Coturnix japonica: one gene and its partner. The protein of the gene in region 1 purifies or fractionates together with the protein of each later gene. This does not show direct contact. Links are inferred from orthologs where the notes say so. Each region holds a gene or a part of one and is shown in the gene's direction. Other genes may lie near its edges.

Region 1 (4,198 bases):
GCTGACAATCAGAGCAGTTGAAAGGTGACAAATGAGAAGTTAAAGAATTGGGAATGCCTGTGTTATGTGTTATTGAGCTCCTTAGACTTGAGAAGAGAGGGTGTGTGGATGAGCAGTGAGAGTGGCATTTGGTTGTGTACGTCTGTCAGCATTGGCTCCTAGGGAATACATAGCTCGAGTGTCCTGCTCTGTGTTGGATTGAAGATGTTGGCTGTTGAGGTTGTTTCTGTAGTTTGCTGTAGCAGGGGATCCAGTGTAACGCTTCTGCAGCCTGCAGAATTTGACCTGCAGCTGGATGTATTGGCCACGGTTCTGTAATAATTTAACACCACTGAAAGAACTGTTCTTCTCATGCTATAGCCTTAGATGAAGGTGAGGCCTTTCATTTAGGTTAGACGAGTTATTATTTAAAGCTGCCTGTGGAATGTAACCCAGCTTTTGTTGATGTGTTGGTTCTCATTGAAACTGTGAAGGTGTGATGAAACAGAAATCAACCAGGAATACCGTAACCTGAAGTGTCCCAAATGAACCATCGCTGTTTTGCAGATGAGAAATCTTACTAGATGAGGTATATTTTGGACAGAAGCGAGGAGTGTGCCTGTGTGGTATGCACATAATCTGACTAGAAAGCTCTGATTGAGTAGCCTAAAGGTAGTGTTTAGTGCTTGGCTGCAGCAAGGCACTCACTATTACAACTAAGAGCGCAGAAGTTTGACAGCAATTGAGGCATCCAGTTACTGCCTGCAAATGAGACTGACTAGTTCTGAGTGTAATGCAGTACTCTATCTGTAGATTATGCTGTCCTCAAACAAGCTCCAACAGCTGTCAGCTTGAAATGATATAGCTGATTTGAGGCTTATATTTTAATAACTGAAAGTATCCTGATACAAACTATAAAACTAGAAAGTGTATGTATATATATGTATATACACACACACACATATATATGTATGTATATATATATTAATGGCTATCTTTTCTTTGGATCGGTTTGAAGTATAAATAGGGATGAATGCCAGACATAGCAAAAGCTTCAGCATCTCTCCTGATTTTTTCTGTGAAGTAAATGTCCTGATTGGAACTGAATGAAAGGGTGTCAGAATTCAAAACAAATAGAACTCTGGTACCTACAAAATGAGATTTTAAATATCCTGTAATGGATTTTGAAAGACATGATGATTTCAGTTAGTGATGTTTAGGAAGGTTGATTATTGGTAGGCTGTTGAGTTGTTGGTAGAGCCATGGAATAAACTCATCATCAAACTTTGAAGTGGATTTGAGATCCATGTTGTGAACCACTACCTGAATTGTTTGGAGGTGGAATGCCCTATAGTATAATGGCAGATATAGATAATGGAAGATCCCAAACAAGGAATGTTTTCAAGTAAAACCTCAATGCTAATGTGTTTGTTTTGGTTTGTATTTTTAGAGATCAGACGAGAATCTCCAATTGTGTGCTGAGCCTTCTGTCTGGTGGAAGTCATGTCATCCATATTGCCATTCACTCCACCAGTTGTGAAGAGACTTCTTGGGTGGAAAAAATCTGCTGGTGGCTCTGGAGGGGCTGGTGGTGGTGAGCAGAATGGGCAGGAGGAGAAGTGGTGTGAAAAAGCAGTGAAAAGCTTGGTCAAGAAGCTAAAGAAAACGGGACAGCTGGATGAGCTCGAGAAGGCCATTACCACTCAGAACTGCAATACCAAGTGTGTGACAATACCAAGGTAAGTCCTGTTGCGTTCGGCATTCCTTACAACCACTTAAATGACTAAATGGATGTTAATTTGTGTGAACAAATTAATAACAGAATCAGTTGCATGCCTTTGATTCTTTAAAAAACTTTAAAACCTGTTTTAGTTTTATGTACTGCTTGCTTCAATTCTTTGAACTGAATCACATGCTTTGTACATTCACAATTTCTAATACGTTTACAATTCAGTTTTTATTACTACCTGGATTCCAGTTTGTGTATGTTCTGGTGGTGCATCTAGTGCAGCTCTTTGCTCATAACACTGCCATATGCTTCTACTTTATAACTCTCTCTGTATTTGGAGAGGCTTACTTGAACATGCACTTCCACATTAAAACAAACAAAAAAAGACTAGTTTTTCCTTGGTCAACACTTCAGTCCTCTTAATTGTAATTTTCAGTTGTATATGGAAGTTTTGTTGAAGTTTTACAAACTGCATCCATTTTCCCATTTGAAGGGAAACATTAGTGGAAGTAGTTTGTCTGAAGACTAATTACTATTTTTATTGGTTCATGAAAGTGCTTTTCATTTAATAACTTAAGAGTACTTTTAGATCTTCTCTTCTGCTCCCTATATATATGTATATTTAGGTGAACAGCTCGCATTCTACCCCTTTGACTTTCTCAACTTCATTCATTGCAACTGCTGTGCGAGAGGCGAGGGTTGTTTGTTAAGTGTATCTGTAGGTTCATGTTGTACAGAAATCCCACTGAAGGTGTGTGTGTAAGCGTGTCAGGGGTGAACCATGAATCTCAAATCACTATGGTGTGTTTCTATAAAACTGTAAGAAAGTCTGGTGACAAGAATATTTTGGACATTTAGCCCCCTGACACTTGAATAGTTTCTAAGAGAGAGAAACTGCATATTTTATGACCTCAATTTCTGTCTTATTAGCACACTGATCCCAGCTACTTTTAAGCTTTGTTTTAGTCGTAGTTCCATCTACATTCAACTGATGTCAGTAGTGGTTGCTGCCTATCAGATGTGTTATGGCTGTTATCTGATCATGGCTTTAGGTTTGACATAGCTTTTTCTGTAATCTATACACATGGCTCCTTTCATTCTGTCCTCTGTTTTCTGTTCACCTTTTGTTTCTAATGTCACCTCCCACTTGCATTTTCTTTCCAGACTGTCCCCAAATTTTCTGGGTTTCTTGTCTGTTCTGTATAGTTGCCTTGTTGTGATGGGCAGTTCTTGCTGGATTGTGATGGACTGTCACCTATCCTTGGGTCAGCTGAAGGAGAGCTCACATGTTTTACTTTTCTTGACTACTGTATGAGTAAGCTGGTAGCTGGAGCTCTTTGGGGGGTGTTGGCATAAGGTTTAGTTTTAAACTTACAAATGGCTTTGATGCTAACAGGCGAGATGATATCAGTACACAGACTTCATCTTCATAGCTGGCTTTTGGACCGCTGCTGTTATTTCACTTTGACATCAGTAGTCTGGGTTCCCAGGAAAGACCAAATGTCAGTTCAGTACTGTAATGACTTCTGGAGTTTTTTGCTTATGGATTTAGTAAGCAAATTAAAACTTCTGCTTGAGACCCATTCCAGCGAATTTCTTAAAGGTCTGCAGTTCAGCAGGGGGTAAACAACAAAGGGTTGACTAGAAAACATTTTGTTCCTTCATTGTGGGCAAGAGGTTTGGGGTGCTCAGTTGCTGAAGTGCACTTCTGTCATGAGTAGAGGCTTATTGTTTCTGTTTTCGTTGCTGGTGTTTGACCAGTTGTAGATTGAATCTGTGATAACTGCTTAACTCAGTATATTGGCGAGTGCTGTGAAGATGCGCCTTTGTGGAGCTGTTGCTTCATACCATCACTAGTATACTTCTTTTCATCCCCTAACTGATAGTGGGTTGGATGGGACTGAATAAAGCTGCCCCTTCAGAAATCTGCATACACACAGCTTTTGATAATCCCATTGCGTTGTTCTGTTTCTGGCTGTTTGTCAAGGTGACCACACAGAAAGTGGGGCTGATGCTGTGTGAGCTACCCAAGCTGCTCGTGTGAATTACTACAACTTCTTACGCAGACTAATGGAGGTTCTGAGAAAGCAGAAGCAAACAGATGGAGTGGGTGTTGGCATCACGCAGCAGGGATGCTGAGCTCCTCAGAAGTGGGTCAGTAATGTAGAGCAGAGGCTAAATAAGTGCAGAGGTCCATTTCACACCAGCCCTTGGAGTAATTTGGAGTTATCTTGCTGAATCCTCCCACAAAGCCATTGGGATTCTAATCCCGTAATCTTTAGGTATCCTTTAACTAAATGTGGACACTTGAGTTCACTTTTCTAGAATATGTAACTAATTCAGATACAGTTAAGATCATGTCTTTATGCTCTCCCCTGTGGTTCTGATACAAATAGAGTTCAAGAAACAAGTCAGTGAAGAAACATTTTATGCAAGTCATCTATTGGAGTAGCTATTTCCTCACCAGCATGGATTGAAATGAATAGTTTG
Region 2 (4,871 bases), on another chromosome or scaffold:
GCGTTCCTTTAAGTGTTGGGTGGGCACTGACTCACCCCCCCATGTCTGTCCCCAGGTGGGTGAACTCCCTGCAACCCGCCCGTGTGACACGATGGGGTGGGATGATCTCCACGCCGGATGCTGTGCTGCAGGCCGTGATTAAACGCTCCCTGGTGGAAAGTGGCTGCCCCACATCCATCATCAACGAGCTGATTGAAAACGCCCACGAGAGGAACTGGCCTCAAGGCCTGGCCACGTTGGAAACCCGTCAGATGAACCGACGTTACTACGAGAATTACGTGGCCAAACGGATCCCAGGCAAACAGGCCGTGGTGGTGATGGCCTGTGAGAACCAGCACATGGGTGAGGACATGGTGCTGGAGCCGGGGCTGGTGATGATATTTGCACACGGAGTGGAGGAAATATAAATGGACGTTGGAAGAAGCGATGCTTTGTGCTGAGGAGGGGGCTGGGACCGAGGCCTGGGGTGGATGCTGCCAATGGCCGGGCTCTGCTCACAGCTGGATGAAACGATTCCATGTCCCCCCCCCTTCCCCCCAAGTCCCCCTTATAACCGCTGCATCCACCCCAGCCCACCCCCCATTTGCCCCCTGCAGCTCCATATCCCCACTTGGTGTCTTCAGAGGGGGCAGAGGAGGCACAGCTGCACCCCGGGTACTGCTGGGCTGCTGCCCCATGGACTTCCAGCCCCATGGACTTCCAGCCCCATGGGCTTCCAGCCCCACGGATGCTCACGCTGTGCCTGCAGCCCCCCCGGCTGCCTCCCTTGTGCTCTCTGCCCTATGCTGCCTGTGTCTGTCCCAGGGGGCCAGGCCTGGCCTCCCTCTCCCCATTTAACCCTAAAGGCAGAGCTGGGCATTTATGGGCGAGGGGGAGCCAATGAGGGGGGGGGGTGGGGGGAGCAGGGAGGGGGTCTGGCACCACCCTGGGGGGCAATAGGAGCCCCCTCTGCCCCACTGCTGTTCCTCTGCAGCCACTCGTGCTCGTGGTTCTGTATTATTTTGTACTACTCAGCCTTCCCCCACCCCTCCATTCTTACCCCCCCCCTCCATTCTCCTCCCCCCCCCTTTGATTTTGGAGTGCCACCGATGGCTTCATACCCCCCCTTACCCCCCCCCATTCACCCTATGGGACTTTAATTTATTCTCATTCGTTACGTTGGTTTTTTTTACGGTCCTCCCCCCCCCTTCCCCCTATTTTCCGCTGTCTGTACGATGCGGTTCCGGGTCTCCCCCCCCCTTGTTGGTGGGGGGGGGGGGGGGGGGGGCGTTCAGCGATCAATAAAAACGGCTGTTCTGGTTTCTGTAGCGAAGCTGTGGCTGCTCTAGGAGGGGTCGGGGGGGGGGTCACACTAAAAGGGGCCGAGCCTTTCTGAACTGCTCCGTGTTATACAGAGTCCCACATTAAAAAGGGACCCCCCCCCCATTAAAAGATAAAGCTCCGTCACGGACAGGATTCGAACCTGCGCAGGGAAACCCTATTGGATTTCGAGTCCAACGCCTTCACCTCTCGGCCACCGTGACTTCAGCGCCTCCCTCATCCGCGCTCCGCCTAGACCCGGCACACCGCCCCCATCCATCGGGTCCTCCGTGCCGCCAGGGGGCGCTGTGTTCACTCATCTCCATTCGGCCTGCAGGGGGCGCTGTGCACACTCACCCCTGTTCTGCCCGCAGGGGGCGCCGTCCTGCAGTACCCTTCATTACCGGCAGGGGGCGCCGTCCCGCAGTTCCCTTCATTACCGGCAGGGGGCGCCGTCCCGCAGTACCCTTCATTACCGGCAGGGGGCGCCGTCCTGCAGTACCCCTCGTTACCGGCAGGGGGCGCTGCGTCACGTCACGGCGGGGAGCGGCCCGGCCCGCTGGAAGATGGCGGTGCGGAAGAAGGACGGCGGCCCCAACGTCAAATATTACGAGGCCTCGGACACCGTCAGTCAATTCGACAACGTCCGCCTTTGGTTGGGCAAGAACTACAAGAAGGTACGGATCGTTCGGGATCCCTCATAGGCCTCACGGCTCCGCTTTACACGGAGCCAGGCCCGAGGCTGAGCCCCCTCCCGCAGTACATCCAGGCCGAGCCCCCCACCAACAAATCGCTGTCGAGTCTCGTGGTTCAACTGCTGCAGTTCCAGGAGGAAGTGTTCGGGAAGCACGTCAGCAACGCGCCGCTCACCAAACTGCCGGTGCGTGACTGGGCCGGGCGGACAAAGGGACCCGCAAACCCCGCAACCCCCCCCAGGGACACCCCAGGACCTGCACGACCCGGCCCCGTAATGCCCTGGGTTGGGGGGGACACATGGGACCCCCCCCCCTCCCTTTGGAGGGGTCTTTGTAAGACCCCCCCGGCCCCAAATGGCCCAGCTGGGGTGGAGGGGACACATGGGGACCCTCCCCCTTCCCAACCCCCCCACCCCCTTTGGAGGGGTCTTTGCAAGACCCGAGGCACCCCCGGACCCGCAAGGCCCGGCCCCGTAATGCCCTGGGTTGGGGGGGACACATGGGACCCTCCCCTTTCCCAACCCCCCCACCCCCTTTGGAGGGGTCTTCCCCACCCCCATCCCTTTGGGGAGGTCTTTGCGAGACCCCCCCGGTTCCAAATGGCCCAGCTGGGGGGGGGGGGGGACACATGGGGACCCCCCCCCTTCCCAACCCCCCCACCCCCTTTGGAGGGGTCTTTGCGAGACCCCCCCGGCCCCAAATGTGGGATGACACGTGGGGACCCTCCTCTTCCCCCCCCCCCTCCTTTAGGAGGGTCTTTGTGAGACCCCCCCGGACCCGCAGGGCCCGGCCCCGTAATGCCCTGGGTTGGGGGGGACACGTGGGACCCCCCCCCCCCTTTGGAGGGGTCTTTGTGAGACCCCCCCGGCCCTGCAATGCCTTGGTGTTGGGGGGGACACATAGGGACCCTCCTCTTCCCCACCCCCGTTCCTTTGGGGTTGTCTTTGCGAGACCCCCCTGGCCCCAAATGGCCCAGCTGGGTGGGGAGGACATAGGGACCCTCCCCCTTCCCACCCCCATCCCTTTGAGGGGGTCTCTGTGAGACCCCCCAGGCCCCAAATGTGGGATGACACATAGGGACCCTCCTCTTCCCCCCCCCCCCTCCTATAGGGGGGTCTTTGTGAGACCCCCCCGGTCCCATAATACCTTGGTGTTGGGGGAGATACATGGGACCCTCCCCTTCCCCCCCCCCCCCCCTATAGGGGGGTCTTTGTGAGACCCCCCCGGTCCCATAATACCTTGGTGTTGGGGGAGATACATGGGACCCTCCCCTTCCCCACCCCCCACCCCCTTTGGAGGGGTCTTCCCCACCCCCATCCCTTTGGGGAGGTCTTTACGAGACCCCCCCGGCCCCGCAATGCCTTGGTGTTGGGGGGGACACATGGGGACACCCCCCACCCCCCACCCCGTTTGGAGGGGTCTTTGCAAGACCCGAGACACCCCCGGACCCGCAATGCCCTGGGTTGGGGGGGACACATGGGAACCCACCCCCCCACCCCCCTTTGGGGAGGTCTTTGCGAGACCCCCCCGGCCCCAAATGGCCCAGCTGGGGGGGGGGCACATGGGGACCCTCCCCTTTCCCAACCCCCCAACCCCCTTTGGAGGGGTCTTTGAAAGACCTGAGACACCCCCGGACCCGCACGGCCCGGCCCCGTAATGCCCTGGGTTGGGGGGGACACATGGGACCCTCCCCCTTCCCAACCCCCCACCCCCTTTGGAAGGGTCTTTGCGAGACCCCCCCGGCCCTTGGTGTGGGGGAACACATGGGGACCCACCCCCCCACCCCCCTTTGGGGAGGTCTTTGCGAGACCCCTCCAGCCCCAAATGGCCCAGCTGGGGGGGACACACATAGGGACCCTCTTCTTCCCCCCCCCCCCTCCTTTAGGGGGGTCTTTGTGAGACCCCCCCGGTCCTGCAATGCCTTGGTGGGGGGGGGACACATGGGACCCTCCCCCTTCCCACCCCCCACCCCCTTTGGAGGGGTCTTTGCGAGAGCCCCCCAGGCCCCACACGGCCCAGCTGGGAGGGATGGACACATGGGGACCCTCCTCTTCCCCACTCCCATCCCTTTGGGGGGCTCTTTGGGGCTGGGGTTGGGCGGGGGGGTTGTTGGGGTGGTCGCCCCCATGGCATGGAGCAGGGACAGCAATGGGGACAATAGGGAGAAGGGATGAGTCCCAGTGCTGCCCGCTGTGGGGCATTGCCTGCTATGTATGGGGTATTGCCTGCTGTGGGGCACTGCCCGCTGTGGGGTATTGCCCGCTGTGGGGCAGCCCCCCCCCCGAGTCCTCCCATCCCCTTTTCCAGATCAAATGCTTCCTGGATTTCAAGGCGGGGGGAGCCCTGTGCCACATCTTGGCGGCTGCTTATAAGTTCAAGAGCGACCAAGGATGGTGAGCGGCATCATAGGGAGGATGGGATGGAATTAAGGGTGGTGGTGGGGTTGGGAGGGGGGAGGCAGAGATTTGTCTGCTCTATGGGGCACAATGGGGGCGGTTACAGCCCTGGGTTGGGCAGTGTGTTGGCTGCCCATCTGTGGGTCACAGCCCCATACACAGATCCCTGTTGGGGTGTCCCCCCACCCCCCTTTAATGGGTAAAATGGGGCTGAGTGATGAGGAGACCTGAGCTGTGGCTTTCATGAGAGTCGCTCTTTTCTTCCAATAAGGCGGCGTTTCGATTTCCAGAATCCCTCGCGGATGGATCGCAACGTGGAGATGTTTATGACCATCGAGAAATCCCTGGTGCAGGTGGGAGCTGCTTCCCTCCCCTCCTCCCCACCTCCTCTATTTGTTCCCAGCTCTGTTTAATCCTTTGCTTTCCTTCCCCAGAACAACTGCCTGTCCCGGCCCAACATCTTCCTGCACCAGGAGATTGA

Evidence for each region. The genes of interacting proteins can lie anywhere in the genome.
Region 2: the proteins of SMAD2 (region 1) and SMARCC2 purify together in Homo sapiens (affinity purification with mass spectrometry; 3 studies listed by BioGRID, with this or other methods). This does not show direct contact. The link is inferred for Coturnix japonica from reciprocal best matches to the Homo sapiens genes SMAD2 and SMARCC2.

What each region holds. Positions count from the first base shown.
Region 1 is NC_029547.1:1,320,642-1,324,839, forward strand, and holds part of SMAD2 (mothers against decapentaplegic homolog 2), read left to right. Parts: intron 1-1,429; 5' UTR 1,430-1,482; coding exon 1,483-1,718; intron 1,719-4,198. UniProt on the Homo sapiens protein: Receptor-regulated SMAD (R-SMAD) that is an intracellular signal transducer and transcriptional modulator activated by TGF-beta (transforming growth factor) and activin type 1 receptor kinases.
Region 2 is NC_029544.1:895,605-900,475, reverse strand, and holds the start of SMARCC2 (SWI/SNF complex subunit SMARCC2), read left to right. Parts: upstream 1-1,821; 5' UTR 1,822-1,865; coding exon 1,866-1,976; intron 1,977-2,059; coding exon 2,060-2,179; intron 2,180-4,295; exon of another isoform or gene 4,296-4,301; coding exon 4,302-4,387; intron 4,388-4,661; coding exon 4,662-4,743; intron 4,744-4,824; coding exon 4,825-4,871. Other genes in the region: RNF41 (E3 ubiquitin-protein ligase NRDP1), read left to right, coding at 56-407. UniProt on the Homo sapiens protein: Involved in transcriptional activation and repression of select genes by chromatin remodeling (alteration of DNA-nucleosome topology).